Xenopus tropicalis: one gene and its partners. The protein of the gene in region 1 purifies or fractionates together with the protein of each later gene. This does not show direct contact. Links are inferred from orthologs where the notes say so. Each region holds a gene or a part of one and is shown in the gene's direction. Other genes may lie near its edges.

Evidence for each region.
Region 2: the proteins of dvl2 (region 1) and iqgap1 purify together in Homo sapiens (affinity purification with western blotting; 3 studies listed by BioGRID, with this or other methods). This does not show direct contact. The link is inferred for Xenopus tropicalis from reciprocal best matches to the Homo sapiens genes DVL2 and IQGAP1.
Region 3: the proteins of dvl2 (region 1) and sqstm1 purify together in Homo sapiens (affinity purification with western blotting; 3 studies listed by BioGRID, with this or other methods). This does not show direct contact. The link is inferred for Xenopus tropicalis from reciprocal best matches to the Homo sapiens genes DVL2 and SQSTM1.
Region 4: the proteins of dvl2 (region 1) and dact1 purify together in Homo sapiens (affinity purification with western blotting; 3 studies listed by BioGRID and IntAct, with this or other methods). This does not show direct contact. The link is inferred for Xenopus tropicalis from reciprocal best matches to the Homo sapiens genes DVL2 and DACT1.
Region 5: the proteins of dvl2 (region 1) and vangl2 purify together in Homo sapiens (affinity purification with mass spectrometry; 4 studies listed by BioGRID and IntAct, with this or other methods). This does not show direct contact. The link is inferred for Xenopus tropicalis from reciprocal best matches to the Homo sapiens genes DVL2 and VANGL2.
Region 6: the proteins of dvl2 (region 1) and nedd4l purify together in Homo sapiens (affinity purification with mass spectrometry; 4 studies listed by BioGRID and IntAct, with this or other methods). This does not show direct contact. The link is inferred for Xenopus tropicalis from reciprocal best matches to the Homo sapiens genes DVL2 and NEDD4L.
Region 7: the proteins of dvl2 (region 1) and peli2 purify together in Homo sapiens (affinity purification with western blotting; 3 studies listed by BioGRID, with this or other methods). This does not show direct contact. The link is inferred for Xenopus tropicalis from reciprocal best matches to the Homo sapiens genes DVL2 and PELI2.

What each region holds. Positions count from the first base shown.
Region 1 is NC_030679.2:153,287,690-153,290,921, reverse strand, and holds the end of dvl2 (segment polarity protein dishevelled homolog DVL-2), read left to right. Parts: intron 1-725; coding exon 726-902; intron 903-986; coding exon 987-1,211; intron 1,212-1,300; coding exon 1,301-1,761; 3' UTR 1,762-2,732; downstream 2,733-3,232.
Region 2 is NC_030679.2:106,863,718-106,867,217, reverse strand, and holds part of iqgap1 (ras GTPase-activating-like protein IQGAP1), read left to right. Parts: intron 1-104; coding exon 105-275; intron 276-547; coding exon 548-631; intron 632-2,262; coding exon 2,263-2,334; intron 2,335-2,417; coding exon 2,418-2,487; intron 2,488-3,229; coding exon 3,230-3,438; intron 3,439-3,500. UniProt on the Homo sapiens protein: Plays a crucial role in regulating the dynamics and assembly of the actin cytoskeleton.
Region 3 is NC_030679.2:22,202,840-22,207,015, reverse strand, and holds the start of sqstm1 (sequestosome-1), read left to right. Parts: upstream 1-1,376; 5' UTR 1,377-1,712; coding exon 1,713-1,902; intron 1,903-3,254; exon of another isoform or gene 3,255-3,692; intron 3,693-4,176. UniProt on the Homo sapiens protein: Molecular adapter required for selective macroautophagy (aggrephagy) by acting as a bridge between polyubiquitinated proteins and autophagosomes.
Region 4 is NC_030684.2:103,321,447-103,325,517, reverse strand, and holds the start of dact1 (dapper 1), read left to right. Parts: upstream 1-1,271; 5' UTR 1,272-1,551; coding exon 1,552-1,848; intron 1,849-3,313; coding exon 3,314-3,443; intron 3,444-3,720; coding exon 3,721-3,876; intron 3,877-4,071.
Region 5 is NC_030684.2:137,173,455-137,177,478, reverse strand, and holds the start of vangl2 (vang-like protein 2), read left to right. Parts: upstream 1-1,224; 5' UTR 1,225-1,466; intron 1,467-4,024. UniProt on the Homo sapiens protein: Involved in the control of early morphogenesis and patterning of both axial midline structures and the development of neural plate. Plays a role in the regulation of planar cell polarity, particularly in the orientation of stereociliary bundles in the cochlea.
Region 6 is NC_030677.2:201,768,976-201,772,475, reverse strand, and holds part of nedd4l (E3 ubiquitin-protein ligase NEDD4-like), read left to right. Parts: intron 1-2,610; coding exon 2,611-2,743; intron 2,744-3,500. UniProt on the Homo sapiens protein: E3 ubiquitin-protein ligase that mediates the polyubiquitination of lysine and cysteine residues on target proteins and is thereby implicated in the regulation of various signaling pathways including autophagy, innate immunity or DNA repair.
Region 7 is NC_030684.2:104,373,043-104,377,076, reverse strand, and holds the start of peli2 (E3 ubiquitin-protein ligase pellino homolog 2), read left to right. Parts: upstream 1-1,234; 5' UTR 1,235-1,598; coding exon 1,599-1,675; intron 1,676-4,034. UniProt on the Homo sapiens protein: E3 ubiquitin ligase catalyzing the covalent attachment of ubiquitin moieties onto substrate proteins. Involved in the TLR and IL-1 signaling pathways via interaction with the complex containing IRAK kinases and TRAF6.

The sequences.
Region 1 (3,232 bases):
GTCCCCTTGCCCCACCAGTGACTGTCCCCTTGCCCCACCAGTGACTGTCCCCTTGCCCCCCCAGTGACTGTCCCCTTGCCCCCCCAGTGTACGTGACTGTCCCCTTGCCCCCCCAGTGACTGTCCCCTTGCCCCCCCAGTGTACGTGACTGTCCCCTTGCCCCCCCAGTGTACGTGACTGTCCCCTTGCCCGCCCCAGTGTACGTGACTGCCCCCTTGCCCCCCCCAGTGTACGTGACTGCCCCCTTGCCCCCCCCAGTGTACGTGACTGCCCCTTGCCCCCCCCAGTGTACGTGACTGCCCCCTTGCCCCCCCCAGTGTACGTGACTGCCCCCTTGCCCCCCCCAGTGTACGTGACTGCCCCCCCAGTGTACGTGACTGCCCCCCCCAGTGTACGTGACTGCCCCCTTGCCCCCCCCAGTGTACGTGACTGCCCCCTTGCCCCCCCCCAGTGTACGTGACTGCCCCCCCAGTGTACGTGACTGCCCCCCCCAGTGTACGTGACTGCCCCCTTGCCCCCCCCAGTGTACGTGACTGCCCCCTTGCCCCCCCCAGTGTACGTGACTGCCCCCTTGCCCCCCCCCAGTGTACGTGACTGCCCCCTTGCCCCCCCCAGTGTACGTGACTGCCCCCTTGCCCCCCCAGTGTACGTGACTGCCCCCTTGCCCCCCAGTGACTGCCCCCTTGCCCCCCCAGTGTACGTGACTGTCCCCTTGCCCCCCCCAGGCTCAGACATGGTAGACTGGCTGTACCACCACGTGGAGGGCTTCCAGGACCGGCGGGAGGCGCGCAAGTTTGCCAGTAACCTGCTGAAGGCCGGGCTCATTCGCCACACGGTGAACAAGATCACCTTCTCGGAGCAGTGTTACTATATCTTCGGGGATCTCACCGGCTGTGAGAACTGTAAGTGCGGGGGGTAACTGGGGTAGGGACATTGGGGGGGCAGTGGGGCAGATGGTCTCTGAGTGTTTTGCTCTCCCCCCGCAGACATGGCCAACCTCTCTCTAAATGACAATGATGGATCCAGCGGTGCCTCCGACCAGGACACTTTGGCCCCTCTGCCTCTCCCTGGGGCCTCCCCGTGGCCCCTACTCCCCACCTTCTCCTACCAGTACCCAGCCCCCCACCCGTACAGCACCCAGCCCCCCGCCTACCATGAGTTATCCTCCTACAGCTACGGCATGGGCAGCGCCGGCAGCCAGCACAGCGAGGGTGAGTCCAAGGGGGCAATAAGGGGCAATATTCTGTGTGGGTCACCGGTCCATCCTATTGGCTAATCTCTCCTTTCTTTGGTCCCACAGGGAGCAGGAGCAGCGGCTCCAACCGCAGCGACGGGGGGCGGGGCACGCAGAAGGACGAGCGCTCGGGGGTAGTCGGGGTGGGCGGGGGGGAGTCTAAGTCGGGATCTGGAAGTGAGTCGGAATACTCCACCCGCAGCAGCATAAGGAGAATAGGGGGTGGGGAGGCTGGCCCCCCCAGCGAGCGCTCCACTTCATCGCGGCCTCCACTTCACCATCCACCCTCGGTCCATTCCTACGCGGCCCCCGGCGTCCCCCTCTCCTACAACCCCATGATGCTCATGATGATGCCCCCCCCACCGTTACCTCCGCCTGGGGCGTGCCCTCCGTCGTCTTCTGTTCCACCCGGAGCTCCGCCCCTTGTGCGGGATCTAGCGTCTGTTCCCCCGGAGCTAACTGCCAGCCGCCAGTCGTTCCACATGGCCATGGGCAACCCCAGCGAGTTCTTTGTGGATGTCATGTGACACTAAGGGGCCGTTAGTGCCCTTCCTACCCCCCCCCCCGGGCTCTGTACGTACAATCAGCGTTTATATGGTCACACTTACATTTCAGCCTAGGGCAGGGATGCCCCTTGCTCACTACATGGACCCGGGCTCTCCTGAAGGGGGCAATAAACCCAGAAGGATTATGGGAAGCCCACCACAAAGGGGACTATCGATACGATGCTATTCCAGCAAGGGGTACGGACTATCCCCGCCTTTGCTTTTCTTATTATGGGAGAAATTAAGCTTTTTTTTTTCTTTCCTCCTGTTTATGTTGACACTATAGTTAGTCGTGATGTCATAGCCCGGTGACATCACTCAGAGGGGCGTTGGCTAAACTCTATAACAGTAGGGTCTTACTCTAACCCTGTTTGTAGGAAGAGAACGTAAGGAAATAGTTGAAACGAACAAATTCTGAACTCTGATGTCACCCATCAGTGACCTCATTGGTGACATCATAACCTCTGTCTGTTACTAAACACTAAAACTCCGAGGGGTCCGCTGTACGCTCCTATCTACACGCACACGTATGTATCTCTACACAGACGGTACTTGCCCCGCAGGGTGCAGTGATAATGAAGTATGTTTATCCGTGTATGTTAATAATGTGCCCCCCTGGGGGCAGGAAGGGGGGGGGGGGGCAGCCTTTCTGCCCCACGAGACACTGCTTCTCTGTTACCAATAGACATTTCTTTGTATTTTTACACGTAAAGCTGTCGCTGTGAAACAGACTCCACCCCCAAACCCCCCCATTCTGGCGCCGTCGGTGCCTTGTCAGACCAACCAATGAATGCCTTAGTGTTGGGCCCAGATGGGGGAGGGATTGTGGCCCTCTGGCTCTGCCCCGGGGGCAAATTAAGTGCCTCGGTTACTTGCCTCTTATTGTATTTATTACTTTTTTTTAGTGCATAAACCTCAGTAATAAAGGAAATAAACCTTGTGTTTTATAGCAAGACCTCCCTCTGCGTGCTGATTGGTGGGACTGGTTGGATCCACTTCTGCCTTTTCCCTCCTACAGAACCAGCGCCACAAGGTACCACAGAGGCTCTTGGTTGGGAGAACTCGGACCTTAAGTACTGGGGTTGTTTCTGCTAGAGAGGCTTCCGGCCACCAATCACCGGTGCCGTATTCTTCTGCAGGGCAGGGACCCCCAACCAGTAACTCGGGGCAACATGTTGCTCCCCAATCCCTTGGGTGTTGCTCCCAGTGGCCCCAAACCGGGCAGTTATTTTTGAATTCCTGGATTGGGGGCATAAAAACCAGGTGTACTGGCAAACAGAGCCTCCTATAGGCTACCAGTCCTCATAGGGGCTACCAAATAGCCAATCAGAGACCTTATGTGGCTTTATTTGTTCTTGGGTTGCTCCCCAATTCTTTTTACATTTGAATGTGGCTCATTGGTAAAAAAGGTTGGGGATCCCCCCCCCCCCGGCTCTAGAGCATAGAGAGCTCC
Region 2 (3,500 bases), about 46 Mb from region 1:
CAGATACTGGGGATATTTTGTTTTTTCTCTCTTGTAGTTTTCTTTTCTAGTTTTACTTCTAACTTTATATATTAAATGCTGACCCTCCATTTCTCTTTCTGCAGACTACCATCTCTGGGGTTTCTGCTGCTTACAACAGAGAGCAGTTATGGCTGGCCAACGAAACCTTAATCACGAAGCTGCAGGCCAGGTGCCGTGGTTATCTTATACGCCAGAAATTCAATGCAAGACTGAAATTCCTGAGGGAACAAATTCCTGCTATTAACTGTATCCAGGTAAAAGAGATAAACATACCTTTATTTAGTAATTTTCCTCATTAATTTGGGTCTGTCAGTTTCAAGGATTTTATGTTGGTTATAGAGAATCACTGCATGGTACTTTGTAACCTTATTGATGAATATGTCTGTGTGTAATAAACAAAAATGGCCGTGCCTCAGAGGAATGGCAGTACCCGGCTATGTACTACTTTGAATCTGCCTTACAATAAGATCTACATTGAGATCTCTTATTTGCCACTATAATACTATATTTTTCTATCTGTGCCTAGGCCCATTATCGAGGACAGAAGCAGAGGAAAGAATACAAAGATCGCCTGCAATACCTGAATGATCATTCCGATGAAGTTGTTAAGGTACCTATTCTGTTTTGTTTTGTCCTTTTCTGTCATGTTTAGCCTGTTTTATTATCTTAAATCTGTCCTGTTTTTAAACATTCCAGTACAAAGAACATAATAAATGTTAATGATACATGCATCTATTGATTTCTTTATGTTTCATACAGCTCAGCATATACTGGTGCCTTGAGAAGAATCTAAGATTAATTTTTAACAGTGAAGTTAATTAGATATGTTAAAAGTTAGCTTTCTGTCTTCCTGTAGGAAGACATAATTACTGTTTTTAAAGTTTAGATAGGATTTACCCCAAAGTGGAAAACTTTTATTTCATTAAGTTTTTTGCTTAATGAAATATAATTCTAAGCAATGTTCAAACTGGCAAATAACCTTTTTTTTTTTTAAAGGTTGGTTTTTAACAACAGCAAATAACTTTAAAACCATTGAAACAATGTTTTGTTTTGTTGTTTAAATTAAATGTAAGTTTAATTGCTCTTAAATTGCTGTTAGGTTAGTGGCACACAGGGAGATTTGCCATCTGTGGTTAAATCTTGGCTACTGCAGGCAACAAATCTCCCCAAAATGCTTTCCCACTGGCAATAAAGTGACTCACCAGTGGGAAAGCACACAAGGCTCTTTGTTTTCCTAAGTTTCCCAAAGTTTCCTGTGTAGGACAGGTAGCACAAGGTATCTTATTTACAAACCTAAGAGAACTGACTTCTGCTGCATTTTTTAAGAGTCAGAATTGAGACAGTACTTTTTTTTTTACAGTACGTTTTTCAACTTTCACAATTGTTATTATGTGTCAGCTACTTTCTATATTTATATTTCTTTTCATGAAATTAATCCAGCTATTGGGATGAGCTCCCCAATAACTTTGCTGTATTTGTCACTAAGAGCCCTTTAATCTGTGTTTGTATTGTTGTATAAGAATGCTACAACTCTCTACATATTCATGTGATTATTTGACTATAAACGCTAGGTTAAGGCAATTTTATCATTCATTTTTTTTTTTTTTTTTTAAATACAAAGATTTTTTTTATATTTTGTTGCCTGCATGATGGACTGTTTCACATGGGTGATAAAATTCCCTGTATGCTATTAATCGTAAAGGGATATGGTTTCACAGTGGCTTTTTTACATTAGATATATGTAACAGACCTGACACAATTTTCATCGGGATAGGTTTAAATTGATATTGATGCTTTAAACCAGCTTTCATTTCAGTGGTAAGATGTGCGAGATGTGTTTTGTCGAAATACATGCTTCATATGCCTTCTCCATCTGTACTTTCTTCTTTCAAAAGGGCTCCTGTACACCGCAGGCTTCTCTGTGATTGCAATCTGATTGGATTCAAGCTGAGTTAGTTCCCCTGATTTGACAAATTGCTTTAGATTAGAAGCAGCCTCAGCAATACCACTATAGAGTTCCAAGTGTCAGAAGGAATTTTATCTGAACCCTTCTAGTAAGGCAGAATATCCATCTTGTGTCGGTCGGTTACTGGCTGATTTTTATCCTTCTCATTCTATTCTGTTTGAACTGTGTAGCTAAAATAATTGTTAATATGTCTCCTGCTTTCAATATATAATACCATCATACTATGTGTAGGACATTGGTACAAAAATATTAAACATGGTGTTTTTTTTCCTTAGATTCAGTCTTACACCAGAATGCATCAAGCCAGGAAGCGGTACAGAGACAGACTGCAATACTTCAGGGATCATGTAAGGACCTGGTTATATGTCCTTTTGTTTATTCATACAGTTTGCTTTGTGTTCTTAACTAACCCTGCCTTCTTTATCTTCAGATAAATGATATTGTGAAAATTCAAGCTTTTATTCGTGCTAATAAAGCACGGGATGACTACAAGACCCTCAGTAAGTGCAACGTAACTTTTGGTACAAGGGCAAGAACCTATGGTTTTATCCAATGTTGATTTTAGTTTCAGATCAGAATGCATTCTTATAATGGGTGATCTCCAGTGTTTTACCATTAAGGGATTTAAATTATGTTATATAAATATAATTACAGAAACCTAGAACTTAGGGACACAGTATACACCTCTTTTCAACATGAACTCAATGAATGGGACTTGCTGGACATACTTTTTTTCTATTGTTTCTGTTATTTCAGGCATTAAATAGGCATGTGAAGCCAGTTTCACGTTCAGTCTTCCTGTCACTTCATGACCCCAAAGAACTTCAGAGGAGCTGATAAAACTAATTACCAGTCCACTGAGACAACCCTGATAATGAGCTGCTTCTTAGAGAAGGGAGGGTTAGTTTGTTCAGATATAGTTAGGGAACTTTGAACAAATAGCCCTGTTTATAATGTTGGGGTGGTAAGGTCAGGGAATATAGCCCAGCTTTCATGTGAGTGCATTATAATGGCAACAGATAGGAAAATATGATTTTTTTTTTTTTTTTTTATTAAAACAATAGAATGTAATTTCACCACAAGTCCTATTTATTGTGTTTATATTTAGCAAAGGTGTTTTTAGGTGTATGCTGTCCTTTTAAGGCTGAAAAAAGACATATCCATTAAGTTCTTCTCACAAAGTGCTTGGTTATTAATCTGGTGCAACCCAGTTAATGTGTGTGTGTTTCTTTTAACACATAGTTAATGCTGAAAACCCACCTATGGTTGTTGTACGTAAATTTGTCCATCTGTTGGATCAAAGTGACCAAGATTTCCAGGAAGAGTTAGAAGTGATGAAGCTGCGAGAAGAAGTTGTGACCCTCCTGAGATCCAATCAGCAGCTGGAAAATGATCTTAATCTTATGGACATTAAAATTGGTCTTCTTGTGAAAAATAAAATTACATTGCAGGTATACCACTTATGCATGTTCTTGAGCAATTCTGACAATGCCTGAAGCTGGCCATAGATTAA
Region 3 (4,176 bases), about 130 Mb from region 1:
GCCAAACGCACTGTTGTTCCTAAATAAATGCTTTGCTGCCCTGATCAGACACTGCTCCCAAGGCAAAGTGCTTGTATGCGCTTCTGAGGCTCAGGTACCTGAGCAGGTCACAAATCCCATTGGATCTTCACTAAAAGTGTTCAGATTCAACTTCTGAATGCCCATGTTAGCCCTGCCATCCAATTTCATGTGTAAGCAGCTGTTCCAGCTACAGTAGGCAGTGTTGGACTGGGACCCCAGGGGCCCACCAGAAAACCTTGGACCCTAGGCCCACTCTCCAAACTATATTTCCTCCTTTCCTCACCCAACCTCTTTATTCTCCTAGTCTCTTTTATTTACATCTATCCTTCCATTTATTTCTCCTCTTTCTTCCCATTCAGAAATAGCAAATGACCTTGAAGTATGCCAAATGGTCAGGAGAATAAGGGCCCACTGACCCCTCGGCCCACCGGGAGTTTTCCTGGTATCCTGGTGGGCCAGTCCGACACAGTAGGCCTCAGTCTGCTTAGGAACATAAGCTGCAACTGTATTATATTCACCATTAAAGGCATTGGCCCTACATTCTCCTGTCATGTTTGAGTTAAAATTCACCATAACTCAAACTGGGCAAGTGACCCATCTGTGAATAGAGTTGCCATCTGTCCAGCAAAACTTATGCTTGATGTTATCTGTAATGGAGAATGATAAAATAAAATATAGGAAAGCAAAGGTGGCAACCCCAATCTGCAACTGTTCTAGATGTTTCCAAAGCTTGGGCTCCTATATATTGCTGGACTATAACTCCCTGCACGCTTCACCATATAGTCTAGTTTTAAAGCACTCTGGGAGCTGCAGTCTTTCAACATCTGGCGCCATAATTAAGATACAGACACTATGGGGCACATTTACTATTCCATGAATTTGAATCCCGAACGGCAAAAATTCGGATTGGAAACGAAAGTTTCTGAACTTTTTCGTCGCCATCATTGCAAATTTTTCGTACTGACCGATCGTAAACGCCGGGAAAACCTTTCTGACTTTGATCTTTCAGTGCATATCTGCATGGGCTCGATCAGTGCACTTGCACACAAAAGAACATTCCGGTAATGTGACGAAAAGTCATGGAATATACGAAAAAGTCGTGATGGCGCAGAAAAAGTCGCAAAAATACTGATCATAACGAAAAAAAAACGCTTTTGGAGCGTTCCTGGGTTAGTAAATGTGCCCCTATGTGTAGGAAGTTACAATCCCAAAAGTGGAATAAACAGAGAATAGAGTAAGAAATTATATTTAATTATACTTATAAAAACCTTAAATTCACAAAAAGAGGTTATTGTACACTTTTCAGTTAAACTGTACTTTATACTGTTCAGAGGACTGTGAATCTGTCATTTATTATGTAATATTGCCCTGCAGTTGGTAGTCTTTAGTCCCCTCACTGTGTGGAGTTCCCCCTTTGTTTTGCCAGGTCACGGTGACATCACAAGGTTGGTGGGCGTGGCTAGCAGAGTGGAAGAGTCTGGCAAGTTCCAAAGGGCTGATACTAATAGGAATACATTGGACGTAGAGGGTGGACTAAGGAGGAGTGGGGATTTCCAGGCTGGCTGTATAAATAAAGCTGGGACTGCTCTCAGCCGTCAGTCACAGAATAACAAACTTCTGCGCAGTCGTTCTGCTCATTGTTTTGTTCCTAACTGCGACATCGCCGCCTATACGGTGCCCAAGGTGCCACCATGCCAGTCACCGTGAAAGCCTATCTGCTGGGCAAGGATGAGAGTCACAGGGAGATCCGCCGCTTCCAGCTGGAGCTGCCGGCTGCCGGCAAAGAGAAGGCGTCCGTGTCCAGCTGCGAGCTGCTAGCTAACAAGGTGACTGGCGTGTTCCAGGGCCTCAAAGGGGGAGCCTTCCAGATGTTCTACAAAGGTGGGAAGCTCAGTCATTATATACTAATAATTGCTTATATCAAATAATTGTTACATGGGTATATAATTAATAATTACCCGACCTCAAACCTGACCTTCATTCATATTTGCCAGCAGATATTGGCATATATATCCCCTGCACTTTGCTTCCAATTTCAAGGTAATATGAGGCTTGGCATGAGGATAAACCCACCTCCCTAATGGGCAAATAATCTCCTTGGAAGATACCATGTCCAGCAGGGGATGCTGAATGACTGCCAGTTTATCATGTGTAATAATAGTAAGAACCAGTCTCCAGTCTCTGTGTTGCAGAACTACACCCCTCTGTAGCTCATACGCTGGAAGAATGTAGTGAGTTGCAACAGGTTGCCTGTGTCTGGGGTAAATTCTGTACATTATACACTTGTATGTGCAAATAATTGTTCAGCGCACACACAGCCTACCCACAATAGGAACGATCTTCGGGTACAGTCGATGGTAGCAACACAAACTTGTGCTACAGCTACTAATTCTGTTTATATCTCAGTGTGGTTATGGCTTCAGGGTGAATCACAGCATAATATTATTGCCTAGGGCAGAATAAACAGCGCTGAGGCCAAATAATAAGGAAAGTTCAGTGAATGTGGGTAGGGCAATCTGTGCATAAGGCACCTAGCCCACAAGCCACATTGCCCTCACTGGATTGTTGGTAGCCCTAACCCTCGTGTATTGATCTACATGGGTGACTCATTTAATAAATATAAGATGGTTGTTAGCAGATATTAGTACTATAACTAGTACTACAAACTGATTTAGAAAAACAATATGAATATAATGTTTAAATAATGAATAACAGACAGTTTTCTAACCATTTCTTAATAGATGAGTTAGTAATTTTGTCTAGTGATCCGTGGTGTGCCCAGGATTTGGGTGTTGCAGCTCACACAAGCACTGGCATGGGTTATGTACACAACTTAAGTATTTTTCTTATAAAAAAACATGGCTGCGTGCTTTATCACTGCTAAAGGGGAAGGGCCATTGTGTGTTTGTTTTGTTGGTGCTGTCTGGTTATGCAAGGGGAGTGGCAAAGGTTGTCGGTCTAAGGTCTGTGTTATATATTTGTACTTGTCGGCTTGTATTGTATTTTTTGTGATACGTTTGGATGATTGTCAGTAGGTCAGAACTATGCTGATAACAATGTTTCTTGGCTTTTATACATGTGGAAATTTCCACTCTTGCCGGATCTGGTTAACATCTTTCCCGAGCCAGGACCTGATTAATAATAGCTAGAGACTGAAACTGGGGGAAGCAGGTTATTAGGATGAGGGCACTAAAGAGTTATTAAGCAGAATCTGAGCGATATCTAAACCTTACCTTAGCAGATACCATAATAGCTGTCCAGTGTTTAGTCAATGAAATACGTGGTAGATCCATGGCACCTATAATAGAAACAACTCACACAGCATTGAGGCAATCTCCTGTACAGGAAGTATAGTGTGCAACTGTGCAAAGGTTGTAGCTTCCCACGGTCACCAATGTATAGTCTCAGCAGATCAGACTTCATTTTTCAATCTTATCAGAATTCAGCCAGGCTGTGTATTACATTGAAGGAGGACGCCTAGCCTAAAACGAATTTCTCTTGAAATGCTGTATTTTATATACTGCACTTGTTGTAACAGCAGAGGCAACAGGAATTATGCAGGACTCCAGATCAGCTCACCATCTTAGACCTTGTTAAGCCATCTGTTTAGTGTCAGTGACACTGCACTTGCTCTGTGTGCTCTTGGCTGTTTTTGAGAAATTAAGCTTTGCCTGAAATTATCAAACAGAAAATTAAGTTTAACTTTTACAGAAGCTGATGTTTCAGGTTGCACTGGTTTCTAAACTTGTGTGTAATTAATGTGAAGTTCATTTAATTACTAATTAGACTTTCATTGTAACTTTTATATTAAATGTATAGAATGTATATTGTGAATGGGTCCTTATGCTTAGGCAAATGACAGTAGCCCCCCAGAGTATGTGCTGTGAATTAGCAGCAGAGAAGATGGGGAGCTATGGGAGGCATCTTCAGCGGTACAGATCTTCCCTGCTAGATAGTAGCAGGTAGCCTTGGGTTACTAAATAAGGTCAAAACATAATAGGGCTCATTTATCAACACTTGGCAAATTTGCACGTGGGCAGTAGTCCATAGCAACCAATCACTGATTTAGCCAGCCAAAACAGTGAACAGTGAAAGCAAAAATGTAATTGTCATGGGTTACTGTCCATTTGCCCAGTGTTAATAAATGATTCCCAG
Region 4 (4,071 bases), on another chromosome or scaffold:
AGTTTAATACTTGTGCAAATAGTCCTTAACAAAAGCCAAACAAAAACTGCCTCACAAGAATTAAAAACAAAAACAGTCACAACAGTTGCACAAAGGTCAAAGGTCAAATGTCACAACCTGGTGATGTGGGTTGTACCCTCCACTGGTAGAATACATGAGTGGCCACTGTAGCTGGATGTGATTAGGCCATGCTGGCTGCTGTAGCTGGTAGGCCTGGATATGTTCTGGCCATAACAGTAGGCTGACAGTTCTGATCTGGGCCTGGCTCTGTATTTACAAAGAAAAAAAAAATACAAAGAATGGGAACTTAGTAACGGTAGAATCCACACAAAAGTTGAAACCCAGCGCAATAGGTTCTACATTTTGTGGTACCTGTAAATCAGCTCCCCCCCCCTTCCCCCCCAGCCACTCCATGATAAGGAGAAAAGCAGTGGTAACATGAATCTGTCACATTCTCAGGGGGTTCAAATTCCTCAGCAGTTTAAGAATCAATCAATAAATGAATTATGTTCTCATATAAGGACAGAAATAAAACAGTAAGTCACTAATAGGGGGAGCCAACTTGCCCTCCAGCTCTTACTGAACTACAACCCCAGGATTCCATATACATGCTTCATTTTCCAAGTGGTTCTGGGAGTTTGAGTGCAACAGAAGCTGGAGAGTAGACGGTTGTACAAATGCAGTGATCCCCTCAAAGCAGGAGCTTATTTTTGAGGAGCTGCCAAATGGCAAATCAGAGCCCTATGTGTAACCCCAGGAACATTTTTCATACTTGTGTTGCTCTCCAACTCTTTTTGCATTTGAATGTGGCTCAGGGTAAAAAAAAGTTTGGGGGTCCCTGCATAAATGTATGAATACTGTGTAACTACAACTCTCACAGTACAACACCATTATTCTTCGTTTCCAATCACCAAAGCAAACGTTGCACCTGGCTGCCAGTAACACACTGCTTCGAGAACACAGAATGTTTGGTTTTGCACTGATTAAATACCTACATAAGTGAGCTGTTCTGGCTCATATTTTAAATATAACCATAGCTGTAAGGTAACGAATAAGTGTTTTGCCACTCGGTAGAAATGAATGAACAGTGTGGGCTATGGATCATGCATGCCGTGTATTAAGCACAACCGAGCGTACGTACAGCGCTGCCTCAAGTCTGCAAGTGAGCCTCAGAGCAGAGGGGCGGGGTCGGGACGTGTGTGACGTAGCGAAGGCTACTTAGCTTGGCTGGAGCTGCGGGACTGAGTGCAGAAGGATTGAGAGAGAGTGGAGGAGTGTGTGGCGGTGAGAGTGCTGCGGTGCTGTCATGGGCTGTTTCGCTTAGCTGCTCGCCAGAGATTCAGCAAAGATGCGCCTAGCACTGCGCAGGAGACGCTAAATCGCACGTTGTGCAAACTTGGTGCATTGTATCCGCTGACAAGTGGGAGTTTGGGATCGGTTCTTGCGGAATAGTGAGGATAAGGATTACCTGCTCATTGGAGCGCCCTTGTTCCTTTCCAGCCTGGCTGCCTTTGCAGATGCTCTAGCTTGTGGCTTGCTCGCTGTCCCAGGATGAAGCCGATCCCCGCCACCCCTGACCACCTGGGGCAACACCAGGAGAGCCCCCGCCGTAAGGACAAGGGAGAGGCGGAATCGGAGCGGCAGAGGACCCGGGAGCGCCTGGAGGCGACCTTGGCCGGACTTGCGGAGCTGGGCTATCTCAGGCACCGGCAGGAGCTGCTGGTAAAGAGCGCACTTACCCCCGGGGCACCGACTCACGGAGATACTGCCACTCGGGCAGGGGACACCCCCCGCAGCCTGGAGGAGAAGTTCCTGGAGGACAATATCTTGCTGCTAAAGAAGCAGTTGGTAGGTGTCTGGGTGCGGGGCACAGGGCTGGGTCTGTGGGGCAGGCTATTTAGTTTGTGCTCCGGGCAGGGATATGTATATATTTATATATGTGTCCGCTCAATTATATTCTATTTCCCGTTACGGTGTGTACAGACTAGTGATGCCTGCGTATGTACGATCCCATTGCACTTAATATTCTCAATACATGTATGGGAGACTGCCCTGCGCATTCTGTACTCAACATATATTTACTGCTCGATTACATGCAGTATAATTACTGGGAAAGCTGTCTCACATACTACCCACATGCGGGGCTGCACGACTCTTTAGCACTAGCTGATCCCCCCCATCTTATCCCCACTATACATTGCTGAGCTCTTTCAGTTCGTATAGAAACCCGTTTTCTAACCCCTGTGTGTGCAGCGCATCTGACTCTTAATTAGTAGTATATGAAAGCATCTGACTCCCCCAGCTCATGGGGCAGGGAGTAGGTCCCCCAGCTCATGGGGCAGGGAGTAGGTCCCCCAGCTCATGGAGCAGGGAGTAGGTCCCCCAGCTCATGGGGCAGGGAGTAGGTCCCCCAGCTCATGGGGCAGGGAGTAGGTCCCCCAGCTCATGGGGCAGGGAGTAGGTCCCCCAGCTCATGGGGCAGGGAGTAGGTCCCCCAGCTCATGGGGCAGGGAGTAGGTCCCCCAGCTCATGGGGCAGGGAGTAGGTCCCCCAGCTCATGGGGCAGGGAGTAGGTCCCCCAGCTCATGGGGCAGGGAGTAGGTCCCCCAGCTCATGGGGCAGGGAGTAGGTCCCAGCTCGCTGTGGATATCTGGCTCGCTTTCTAGTATAATGAATCCTAGGAAGCGATTTGCTAAAGCAATTAGGCGCACGGTGTGACCACCAGGGGGCAGCCTCACACCCGCAGATTGCTCCTGAATGGAGCTGCTTTGTGAATCGGCTGCTGTTTCAAATGGAAGGAAAACCACCAGAAGCTCTAATCGACACGTTTAAGGAGCTTAACCCTTTCAGCATGCCTTGTTTGGCACTCTCATCATTTTGTAATTAGCAGAACCCAGTGGGTAACCCTCTTACAGGATTAACCTCATTGCCCTTACATTGCACTTTCAGTTGTGCAGCTTTAATATGGCTATGCATTTGTTTGTGTTTACACATCCTCACCGTAACAAATTTGTGTGTATGTGTATATATAATATATATTTATAATATCAAAATGTTTTGTGTCTGTTAGTACTCCTTATTGGCAGGACACAGATTTCTGCCAGTCAGTTCCTTCTATTAGTGGCATCTGAATTCTTTTGGTACAGCTTAAAAGACAAAGCTTTATGTCTGTAAATGGCAAGCAGCACAGATGGTCTGGGCACAGTTCATGCTGTAGTGCAATGACAAGATCAATGTAAAGATTAGAATAAGTGTATTTTGATGCAAGGTTTGGTTTCAAATTACATTTCTGACTGCCATTTCTTTTCCACAGAACTGCCTTAGAAAGCGAGACGCAGGTTTACTAAGCCAGCTTCATGAGTTGGACAAGCAAATAAACGATCTCAAAATTGATGTTGAAAAGACAGAGGAGCATCTGGAAACAGACAGTCGACCCAGTTCAGGTAAGTGTGAGATACTGACGTGATATATTTATCTGTGTGGGTGGGAATGCGCTCCTTCCAGTGGTTCATTTGATTATATATTTACTTATTGTAATTAACTGCCCCACTCAGGCACTAAAGGTTTGCTATTTTGCATATGGCTAAGTACTGATAATGAGACACTTCAATTCCCCTTTCTTGTCTTGCACATTCTCTGAACCACATCCAATCATTCCTCTAGCTCTGCAGTGTGTTTTGTGCCCTTCTCCTTACAAAAGAATGCTGTTTTTATTTTTAGGATTTTATGAGCTGAGTGATGGGACGTCGGGATCCCTCTCCAATTCCTCCAACTCAGTGTTCAGCGAATGTTTATCCAGCTGCCACTCCAGCACCTGCTTTTGCAACCCCTTGGAAACATCATTAAACCTCACAGATGGTCAAGCAAAGTCTGCAGGTAATGTTTGTTTTCTTTGCCTTCCTCTGTTGTATGGAGAGCTGTTCTTGTACGTTCCAGTGTGTACAAAAAGCTGTGTCTTTGCTGTCTTTGGAATTGATTAGCAGTCTGGTTTGACTGAAGAATTCCCCCCTGAGTTTGACTAAGAAAATAACCTTTTGTGATCGAAGTGTTTATTATGCACTTGGAGTGCTT
Region 5 (4,024 bases), on another chromosome or scaffold:
GTCCCATGACCATATAAAGGTACATATATACATATATAATATACAGTAATTTCCCTATGGGACCAAACCATAAATGATATCCTTATAAATGGTGAGTAGTAATGTCATCAGTTATAATCTGAGCTTGGTGATGTCATTTCTGTCACATGACTCACTTAAACTTGTATATTATAATAAATAAAGTACCCCTGTTGTAAAATATGAGGATATTAGAAGTGACCTATGATTTCCATGACCTTTATGGTCATGGGACTTCTCTATGACTTATAATATCCCTATATGTTACAATAGGGGGTACTTTATTCACTATATAATATACAGGAGCCACAAATACCCTTTATATGGCCATGGAACCCCTCTGTGACTTATAATATCCCTATATGTTACAATAGGGGGCACTTTATTCACTATATAATATACAGGAGCCACAAATACCCTTTATATGGCCATGGAACCCCTCTGTGCCTTATAATATCCCTATATGTTACAATAGGGGGTACTTTATTCACTATATAATATACAAGAGCCACAAATACCCTTTATATGGCCATGGAACTCCTCTGTGCCTTATAATATCCCTATATGTTACAATAGGGGGTACTTTATTCACTATATAATATACAAGAGCCACAAATAACCTTTATATGGCCATAGAACCCTTCTGTGCCTTATAATATCCCTATATGTTACAATAGGGGGTACTTTATTCACTATATATAATGATACAGACACACCAGGGAGCCATGTGAGCAGTGACATCACTAAGCTTCCATTCTAAGGGATGACATCACTAAGCAGCATTGTTAAGGCTATGACATCACTAAGCAGTAGAATTGTTAGGCTCAGTCTATAGGCAGATAGCCTAACATTAACCCTTCTGTGACACCCACCCCAGTATATACCAGGCAGCTAGTTGGCCTCTGATAATGACTTGCTAAACAGCCCTTAGGGAGCGATTAGGCAGCAGCAGAAGGTGAGAGGGGAAAGAAATCCCAAATAAGATCAGTGCTAAAGCCCCAAGCTGCGCTGGGTTTGCCCCCCCCCCCCCCCACAGAAAGGGGATCCGGGGAAGTGAGACAATGGGCAGGGAGGGGGGAGGAGAGCGGTGGGTGGGGCTTGCCGGGAGGGCGGGGCTTGCCGGGCTGCAGCCGTAGAAGTGTATGGAGCTTGGGGGCGGAGGCACAGCGCTGCTCTCTCTCTCACAGCCTAAGGATTGTGCGTTGTGGATCTCCGGGGGATCCCGCCCGCTCCCCGTTCGGCCGCCTGTGACCCCTCTCCCCGCACCCCGAGTGTCGCCCTGTGGATTTAGCGCAATACCGGCGCAATACCGGCGCAGCGAGGCTCCTACAAAAGGACTGGCGCTCCCCCTTTCTCCCTCCGCCTCCTTTTCTCAAACAGCCTCCGTCCGTCTCCCTTCCCCCAGTGCCTGGGATCCCATGCCCGCCGGGAGCCTGCCTGCTGCCCTGGTAAGTACCTCTCCCCCGGGGTGGATTGTGCCGGGTACATTGTGCCCCCCATGGGTGGGTGAGAGTGGTACAGTCTCCTTGCTGTGCCCTCAAACTGCCTGCTGCTGCCTGCAACTGCCTGCTATCATTCTATCTATCATTCTATCCTACATTGGCTTCCCAGGTACATGCCTTTCCCTATGTTACTGTGGGTTTCACTGGCCTGCTTGGCATTTGGGCCCCTGTACCCATATTCCCTAGCCCTGCACCCAAGCCCTCTGGTTAGAGCTGGGTGCCACTGACTATTATGGGTCCGGTTACCCTGATGCCTGGCCTCCCATTGGCTCTGGGTAGCAGCTAGATGTGGGGTTCCATGGCCCTGCACCTCATCCCTCTTTTCAGCCTAAATCCCATTACCCTGAGCCTTTGCCCTCCCAGTAGCTCTGGGCCCTGTGGCCCTGCACCTCATCCCTTGCTTTAAGTCTGGATCCAATTACTCTGACCCTTAGACCTCCCATTTGCACTCCAGCCCTTCCTGTATATATACCCCTCATGGTCCAATTACCCTAAAACTTGGCCATCCTATTAAATCCTGCCCTCGCGGCCCTGCACCTCATCCCTTCTTTCAGCCTGGATCTAATTACCCTAAGCCTTTGCCCTCCCATTAGATTGGGGCCCTATGGCCCTGCACCTCATCCCTTCTTTCAGCCTGGATCCAATTATCCTGATCCCTAGACCTCCCATTTGTACCCCCCCCCATTAGATCTGGGAGCCACCCATCTTTCCCTTTAGATCTTGCCCTATTGCCCTACACAACAGCCCCCCCCCCCATTAGATCTGGGAGCCACGGCCTTGCCTCTTATCCCTATTACTGCTGATCCATAGCCTTCCCTTTAGATCTAGCCCTATTGCCCTACACAACAGCCCCCCCATTAGATCTGGGACCCATGGCCTTGCCTCTCATCCCTATCACTGCTGATCCCTGCTGAAGCCTTCCCTTTAGATCTAGCCCTATTGCTCTGCACCCCAGCCCCCCTATTAGATCCCCCTTGTCTCTCATCCCTATTACTCCTGATCCCTATCCTTCCCTTTAGATCTTGCCCTAATGCCCTGCACCCCAGCCCCCCCCCCCCCCCCCATTAGATCTGGGAGCCACGGCCTTGCCTCTCATCCCTATTACTGCTGACCATAGCCTTCCCTATGGACCTTGCCCTATTGCCCCGCACAGCAGCCCTCCTGTTGGATCTAGATCCGACCGCCCTGATTCTCCTGCATTCATCAGATCAAGCATGGGCTAGTTGAGGCCCTCCAGATCTTTTTAAGATGCAACTCCCAGCACCCCTCCTTCAGCAGCATCTGGAGTATCTCCCATTAAGTAAGCCTGATCCTTCATTTTGCCTTTGATTCCCATTCCCCTGGTTAGATCCATAGCTGCGGCATTCCCATGGGAAGCTGGGGGTGTCAGTGATCCTTTCAGCACTGCCTGAGCCTTACTAAGCCTGGCACAGAGCACTCGCAGCAGCCGCATTTCCCTTCCCAAGGCCTTGAATTCCACTGAAATCCCTGCAAGGCCCCACCAAGCCAGGGACTCTCCTGACGGATCAGCCTGGGTCATAAGTCAGTTGCCTGGGGCGGGTTGGTTTGGGGAGGAACTGCCAACGTTACACTTCACACCCAATCCACACCGGCCGTTCTGCACTCAATTGTTTCCCCCGTTGCTAGCCTCTCGGGAAGGGCCGTCTGGGCCGGCCTGTTTACTCTCCTACAGAACACAAATAGGTGTTTATTGTTCTACATTCATGCCATAAAGGAGCGATGATAACACCACGGTGTAGTAAAGCAGAGCCTCATTAATAATTAACCACAAAGCTGCGAACAACAAAAAAATACAGTTAAAGACTGTGAATGTATTTTTGGGTTTATTTCCCCTTTAGTGTGTGTATAATCTGTCAGTATATACGATTTACATGCGTGTGCATTAAATGTTTGTGTGTGACCTAAAATTAATGAATTTGAAATGCATTCCGAGCCCAGTAATTGAGTGTCAGGGTCAAGTATCTGTGAAGGGGGGGTGGGTAGATCTATCAGGGCACGGCGGGGGTGGCTGTTTCCCACTGAATGGGACAGAATTACAAAGGAGAAAGGGTGATAGTGTTGGTCCTTATAAAAGAAAAAAAAAAGTGACATTCCCACCCCATGAGAAGGAGCGTTAGTGAAAGGGCTGGGAAGATGATTTAGGTGCCTGGGGGGTTCATTCAGATGGTACCTGCCAAAAAAGTAGGGTTGGGGGGTAACAGGTGGGGAGAATAAAAACAAGTTATAGCATAGGGTATTGGGTTCATAGTCCAGAAATCTTGGCGCTGGTTTGGCTGTAGTTATAGCCAGGATGTGCAGCTCTGGTGATGGTTTTCGGTAGTGGTGGGTATTTGGCACATGAATTACCCCAGGCTGGTGCGGATGGTGGGTCAGGCGTAAATGTAGGCATTTAAAGCTTGCATTGGCCACTGCATGGGGCCTTTCTGACCAATATATGGCAAGATATCTTTGAAAATTAGGCTGGTGTTGTGACCCTCTCCCTG
Region 6 (3,500 bases), on another chromosome or scaffold:
GGAGAACAGCACTGCGCTACAGGGCTCAAAGCAATGCCTGGGAAAGGGGATTGTGTGCTTTAGGGAAACAATATGGTAGCTTCCAACCAAATGTATAGATACCGATAAAGGGTACATAGAAGGGATGTTCAGAGTATGGGTGTACCCCCATACTGTATTCTTTGAGGAAAGTAGTGTAGTGTTTTTTGTCTGTTTGTATAAATGCAAAAGTTCTAAATTTACCACTTGGCTAGTATTTGGCCAGTCTAGCCAGTAAATCACCAACTTACCAACAATGTACTTCCCGGCAAATTTGTAATGGCCTATAAATCCCTCCCTTCCTCTGCTCTGCTTATAACCCATTCCACCCATTTCCCAGCCCATCTACCAGTTTCGTCCACCTTTCCCCCACCAATCCTGTCCATTTCTCCACCCCTTACATCATAGCCCCCCCCCCCCAATGAAAATATGACAACCATAGAAATCATTGAGAAGGGATAGTATATAATAAAGTATAGCATTATTATGATTGTAATAACATATTCTGCAGTACAGTAAATGGGTGTATATAATGAATATACAGATCACATACCAGACAACGGATAACCTGTATGAGAGGACAGAGGGCCCTGTCCCGGCAGCTCCTAATATAAATGTAAATTTCAAGGAAAAAATACTCTTTGGTCACTATAAACTGTATAGCTAACAATGAAGCAGCTCCCCCAAAGCTTTACGCCTCTGATTTAGTGTATAATCCCTAGGGAAACAATATGGCGGCTCCCACTTGGCCCTATAAATACCAAATATACGGAGAAGGAATGTTCTGTACACACAATAGATAAGGGAAACAAAATGGAATCTGCCTACATAACTGCAAATATGGACATAAGGAATGTTTGGTACACGTGGGAACAATAACTACAATTTTATCTCCCTTAGAAACATAAAGGTACTGCTTTCAGTGTACAAAAAATCCACCACAGTTTGCCAAAATGGTGTATTTTCACTGAACATTCCATTCTGTGCCCTTTTAGTAAACCTGGCAGTAGCAATGTGACTTTGCCAGGGCAGTAGCAGGACATTCATTTGGGGCAAATAAAAGCTGAGCCCACTATGGGAACCCTGAAATGACTGCCTGCTTAGGGTAGGGGTGAAATAAAGGCACCCTTGCACCCTAGTCTGCATGGAAATTAGGGTTACCCCCTTTTATTTCCTTGTAGTACCGGCCTTTGGGTCTAGGGATTAAGCGGGGGCACAATATGGGCAATGATGTCACAGGGTGGGAAAATGGGCAGGGTATAGGCGGGTATATACTTATATAATCCCTTAGCGGAAAGGGTCAGGGAAGGAAGAGATTTGTAGGGTATTACAAATTTTATTGATGGTAAGTATGTAATTTTGGTGATTGATCCGATTTTGGTGATTTACCAGCTGGGCCAATCAAATATCGGCCTGGTTTTAACCCTAATGAACAGGGCACCTTCATAATGGTGCAAGTATAGACAGAAGTCAGTAACATATTGAACTCCTGGCAATGTCGGAAATCATCTGCTTTGGGATTAATAATGTATAGACTGGTGAATAGTTCATAAGGCCGGGTAGTATTTGTACTCGCACAGCGTTAGTATCACTCACACGTAAGCATTTTCCTTTTCCTTTATTATTGGGAGAAAGACATCAAGATATTAATGGGCAGATAAAAGGCTGCTGGTAAAATATATGGAAAAATATTCCTTTGAGCCTACAGTGACATCTGCATTGTGTTATACATATGCTTTGCCCTTGGGCTAAGCTCCCTTTTTTATTATTAATAACAAATTCAGCAAAGCTAAAGGTGCCTGTATTACCCATTGCCGTGACTCAGACTTGCCTAGCCAACCGTATAAACCCAGTGGGAAAGTATTAAACCATAATTTAGTGCAGTTGCCCTAGAAGGCCATCACTGTTGTTTCCATAAGAGCATTAGCCTCTATTGTACATATATTATAGCAGCTGCCATGCAGTTTATTGCACAATGCAAAATAGGCTTTAATTGACATTTAATTGGCAAATCCAGGATTCAGTTCGGTATTCGGCCGAATCTCTTACAAAGGATTCGGGGTTCAGCTGAATCCGAAAATAGTGGATTTGGTGCATCCCCACTCCAAATGTTATGCATTCAGCAGAACTGCACCCAGCGTACATACAAATGCATCTCTTGCCCCCAGAGGTGAGCTATGAAGCCCGGTACCTGGTAGATGACTTAGCCCCCCCGGTGTTTGACGGCACCGTGCCAGGGCTCTGTATGTTCAGCTTTCGGCTAAGCTCTTTACAAGTGATGCCATACATACCATTTCGATAGAAGGGTAAACACTGTGCAGAGCTCTTGGGGATTAAAATAGAAGGTACTTGTGTTAATCTTATTTGCTTTTGATATTAACACTCACAGCAAACCTGGGGAAGCAGCAACACTATACAACCAAGCAGGTTCCAAGATTAACTCTTTAATCGCTGTAATCGTATGTGTTTGTGGTCATATATGGGATTTGAGGACAAATTATAAAAACTGCTATAAGCTTACCTTGTACAGACCTGAGCGGCAGTTAATGTTTAACACTTTCCCCTTTCCTGTGACCCCTTCATCCTGCGCAGAGACGTTACGTCCGAATCGGACAGCAACATTCGGCACATACAGCAAGAGGCCCACCGAGTGTTCCGATCTCGGAGACATATCAGTGAAGACCTAGAACCCGACCATATAGAAGGAGGAGCGGATGTTCCAGAGGTGAGTGCGGGGGTTACCAGTTTGTATATCTTACTCTGGCCCCAGGTCTTGTGTCTTTGCTTCATTGGTGATCCCAGTATAATATATAAGAGAGAGATTCATACATAATATGAGAGCAGTAGGTAAGTTCTTGAAGTGATACTAACATGCTCTTTTAAAAAGCCATAACATATTGGAATTACTTTAAAGGAGAAGGATTTTACTGCCAATAGATTTGCAACATTAGTGCCACCTAGAACACTATATTTATTCAGCAGAAAGCTTTACTATAGCTGAGTAAAGAGCCCTAGAAGCTTCCTTCAATAGCAGCTGCCATTTTAGCTTGGTCTTGGTAGCTTCCTGCTGCAGTTGTAGCCTTGGAAGCTCAGATCACACATTCCTAAGGGAGGATGAAGTAAGTTCTAATGCATTCTTATGGGAGGGGGAGAGGAGAGAACTGAGCAGACTCAAGCCCCAAACCTGAAGGAGCCCTAAAAGAGAGGAAGTCTGAAACCGAAGAACATGTTCACAAAAAATAAAACAAGAAAGTCTATATGTCTTTTGATAGAGGACTCAGTGCAGCGTTTCTGTGAGTGCTTATGGCTGTATTTACATAGACCTTTCTGATAAAGCTTACTTAGTTTTTACCTTTCCTGCTCCTTTAAAGATTTCTTCAGACATCAGAGCAGTAAAACAGACACCGGGGGTCTGCTACATTGTTTCATAGACATGATTACATATATATTATTGGTGGGACCTAATAGCTTAGGTGCATGTA
Region 7 (4,034 bases), on another chromosome or scaffold:
CTATCAACTTACAGGAGGCTTTATGGTAGTAAATCCTGTTTTTTTTCAACCAAAACTTGCAACCTAGTCAGGAATTCAAAAATAACTACCTGGTTTGGGGGCACTGAGAGCAACATCCAAGGGGTCGGTTAGCAACATGTTGTCCCAGAGCCACTGGTTGGGGATCACTACCCTAGGGCCATGGATGTTGTCCTCTCCTGATGGGTCTACATGGCCAACACATAATCCATTCCTTGGCCTGGGGTTTAGCAAGATTTGGCCCCTGACTTGTTAGTCATCTTACAGCTTCTCCACTGCCAAGAAAAATTCTACCCCTAGCAAGAGTCTGTGTGTGTTGGGTCTCTTAACAAATATCTGCTGCAGTGTGCACTGCATTACAATTATTTCCATAAATCAGGATAGGGAATTTGAATTGATCTTTTAGTTTTATACTATGTGCAGTGAAGTTGCTGTTCTCTATACATGAAATGAAGCACAAGACGCAATCATTTTATTAATCAGTAGGAGCCCCCAACTTGATTTACTCAAACTGGAACCAGGATACTGGAGCAGCTGGACTGTGTGCAGCATACAACACCCAGATATGATTGAAATGTAGCTTGTCAAATGATATGATACTGGCAGAGGCTTTATAAAATATCAAACCTTTAGCTGTAAACACTTCTTTGCATCACTTAACCAGTAATCAATGAATCATTTGCACTTTATTATAAGAGATAATTAATAAGACAATAGATCAGGTGATATTTTGATTTGCTACTTCTCTCTCTGAGGCGGGCATTCTAATTGTGAGGATGCTTGGTACCAATAGATCAGTAACGTCACCTTTGCGGATAAAAATAGAACTGCCCCTTTAAGAGCTCCCTATCCCATTTTACTCTATGTTTACATAACAGTATGGACGCTCCCACTCTTCACTTTATGGAGGGGGGTTAAGTGGCGGAATCTGTTACTGGTTAGCGCACGTTCCTGTTTTATCTAATCCGTTCGCTGCTTGGTAAGAGAGGACCTATCATTTGCGGCAGCTTGTTTCCCTGAAAGCACCGAGATAGATACAGGGCAGGGAATGTTTTGTGTTTGATTATGCAAACTCCGCCCACTTCTCTCCCAACGCCTAATCCAGAGTCCTGTTGCCACGGCACTTGGAAAGCAGCGGGGTTCCATTTGTTGTCTAGAGGGGGAGGAGGAAGGAGGTCGGTCCCGCGAGTCATTCGCAGCCTCTCTCTGTTGCTATCGCGTCGGTTGCAGGGCAGGAGGCAGACGCAAGCGGCTTGTTCCTCGGGAGTGCTGCTGTTTTGCTTTGGGCTGCCGGAGACAGGCCGCGGCGCTTTGGAGGGATTATAACCTTTCCCGTCAGCTGGAGCTGGAAGAAACTACTGGGGAGGGAGGGGAGAGTGCGGCGGTGACAGTAATCTGCGCCACAGGGCAGCCTCTTTGCTCCTAGGATTTATCCGCCACCCGGGCTGGTGAGCTGCGGCATCCGGTGTGTATATGAGCTGCCATGGAGTAGAGGGGGTGCGGAAGTGGAGCTCCCCGAGGGATTGTACGGCTGGCCGGGGACCGTGCATTGGCAGAGGGTGACGGGGACCGTCTTCTCCATGTTTTCCCCCAGTCAGGAGGAGCACTGCGCCCCCAGTAAGGAGCCCGTCAAATACGGAGAGCTGGTGGTGCTGGGGTGAGTCGCACACACACTGACATAGGGCAGAGCACAGAGGCCACTGCCTGTCTCCTCACTATCACAAGCACAAGGGGGGGGGGGGGGGGAGTACAATAACAAAGGACATATCATAAGGGCAAATGGCTTATTACACTGTTTAACAATTGCTTGTTAGTCTCTGTATAAACAACACGCACCCCCAAGCTTCTGCCTTCCAGCTGTTGTTCAACTGCAACTTCTCACATCCCACCTACAGCATGTTAGCAGTTTGCAGTAAGGCTACAGATTGGGAATTCCCAATTTATGGAGCAGAACTCAGATGGGCTAGCAAGCTATACTGTATTGCTGGGGGCCCTCACCCACACCCTGAGCCAGCAAGCCAACCGTGGGGGTTGAGATGAGAGGGTACAGCGGAAGTAGTGGAAGTTAAATGCGAATGCATGTTATATTATTGAAAGGTCAGCTTGATCAACACAAGAGCTTACAATTTAGTGAGAGAGGTTCATTTACTAAAATGCCATATTGGCAAGTGAAGCTGAGAGCAATTATATCTATGTGTAACAGCTGCTACCTGGCAGTTAAAGGGCCTGGTTCCATGCTGCACTGTTTGCTTAAAGTTTGTGGGACTCCATTATAAGAGTGGTGGAAGTGACTCAGTACACAGAAGGGGGTGGGTGCAATGTGGAGCAGACATTTACATGTTTAAGGCAAAAGGATAATGGGCCTGCTCATAAGATTTTGAAACGGCGGGGTTTCCTACCTTTTCTTAGGGTTGAACTATAATTCCAAGCACTCCCCGCTGTGCTACATGTATAAGAACTCTGTGTAGTGCAGCCTGGGGGGCACTGGAGATTTTGGGGCTGCATGTCAGCCTCCAGTTGGAAAGTTCTGCTGTGCTGCATGTTGGATCACATTGGCTCACAGCCCTAAGAAGGGATATGCCACCTTCATCAGTCAAGTAGCTGTAGAGTTTCCACTAAAAGCCACATAAAGTTGTATTCCAGCGGGACTTGAAGGGTTAAATATTCAACATCCATGATCTGGAAAGATAAATATGTTTTTGGCCCAAATATTAGGCCAACCCACCCCTGTGTATTCATTGTTGGGAAATCATTTTATAACAGCCAGTAAATGGGAAATCTCCCTGTAGAAGCTCATGCAGCATTTATTTTGTGTTTTAACCCAGGGTTTTACTTCATAGCATTGCATAGCATAGGTATTGCAGGAGTTGTATGCGCTGGCCAGGCAGGGCAAGTTCTACTTCATGGTGCTTCAACATGCAGCCATTTAGTAGTTCTGTTCCTAAGAACTCCAGGTGCTTTTTGCTCAGCTCTCTGTTTTGCTTTGTCATCAGTACCTGCCAAATAAATTTATATATAAACGTCCTATAAAAAGCCTTACTTGACATTGGCTGCGCTTATTCATATGTGCAAAGTATAGGAAACCTATTCTAGGTATGTAATGCCTCAGTGTATCCCGTATTACAGAGGGGCAATATCAGTATACAGGAAGTCATTGTATTTGCTGTGTTTTAGGTCACTTTCCCAGGGGGTTGGTCATGCCTCTTTCTTATTCTATGAAATCCAGTATTTCCTGTGTGAAATCCTCTAACATCTGGATTGCCATTTCTGCTGCATGTTATTGTTTACATATACGTAATGCTGCAGTTTTTCCATATTGCTGAACCACAAAGGGGGGGAATACAAACAATTGCATATCAATGCAGTCCAGTAGAAATGGGATTTAATTGCCCCATTCCTTACTGCTTGCTTTTCCATTTCCGTTATTGGTTTGGTAAGCTGCTGGGGAAATTACAAAATCCCACGCATGCTAATGTGCTTTGTGTGTGTGTTTCCCCCTTTTCTCATTGGAACAGTCTGGTAACAGGATTGATCCAAGATAAAGTGAGGGGTACTTCAGATTGGTAAACGTCAACTTTCCTTCTATCCCAGGCTCTGCAGTATGCTTATATGCAGATTGTCATTATCACCATAAATTATAAAGCAGTAACCTATTTTGCAGGGCTGCACAAACTGCCTAATACATAACTGACAGCTGGGGCATGGTATATTTATGATTTACTTAAAAGGCTCAAGGCCCGGCCCTTTAGATCAGATTTAGAGGAGATATCCTAAGCAGCAGTCATGTGAAATACTGCTTTTGTTTTCCCTTTGAGAGCTGCTAGGAAAGAAAGAGTTAAGAAGGAATTTACCAAATATTTTAGGCTTGGCTTTTAATGAGTGCATGTGCTCTGGTATTTTATTTACCACTAAGGTATTTTATTTAGCCCACCCCCTCCATCTGCTATTGCATAAGCAGCAGCAGCACTTCAAAAGTGAAACGGAATACTGGAAAAGTAAAGCAACAATGCCAAAGA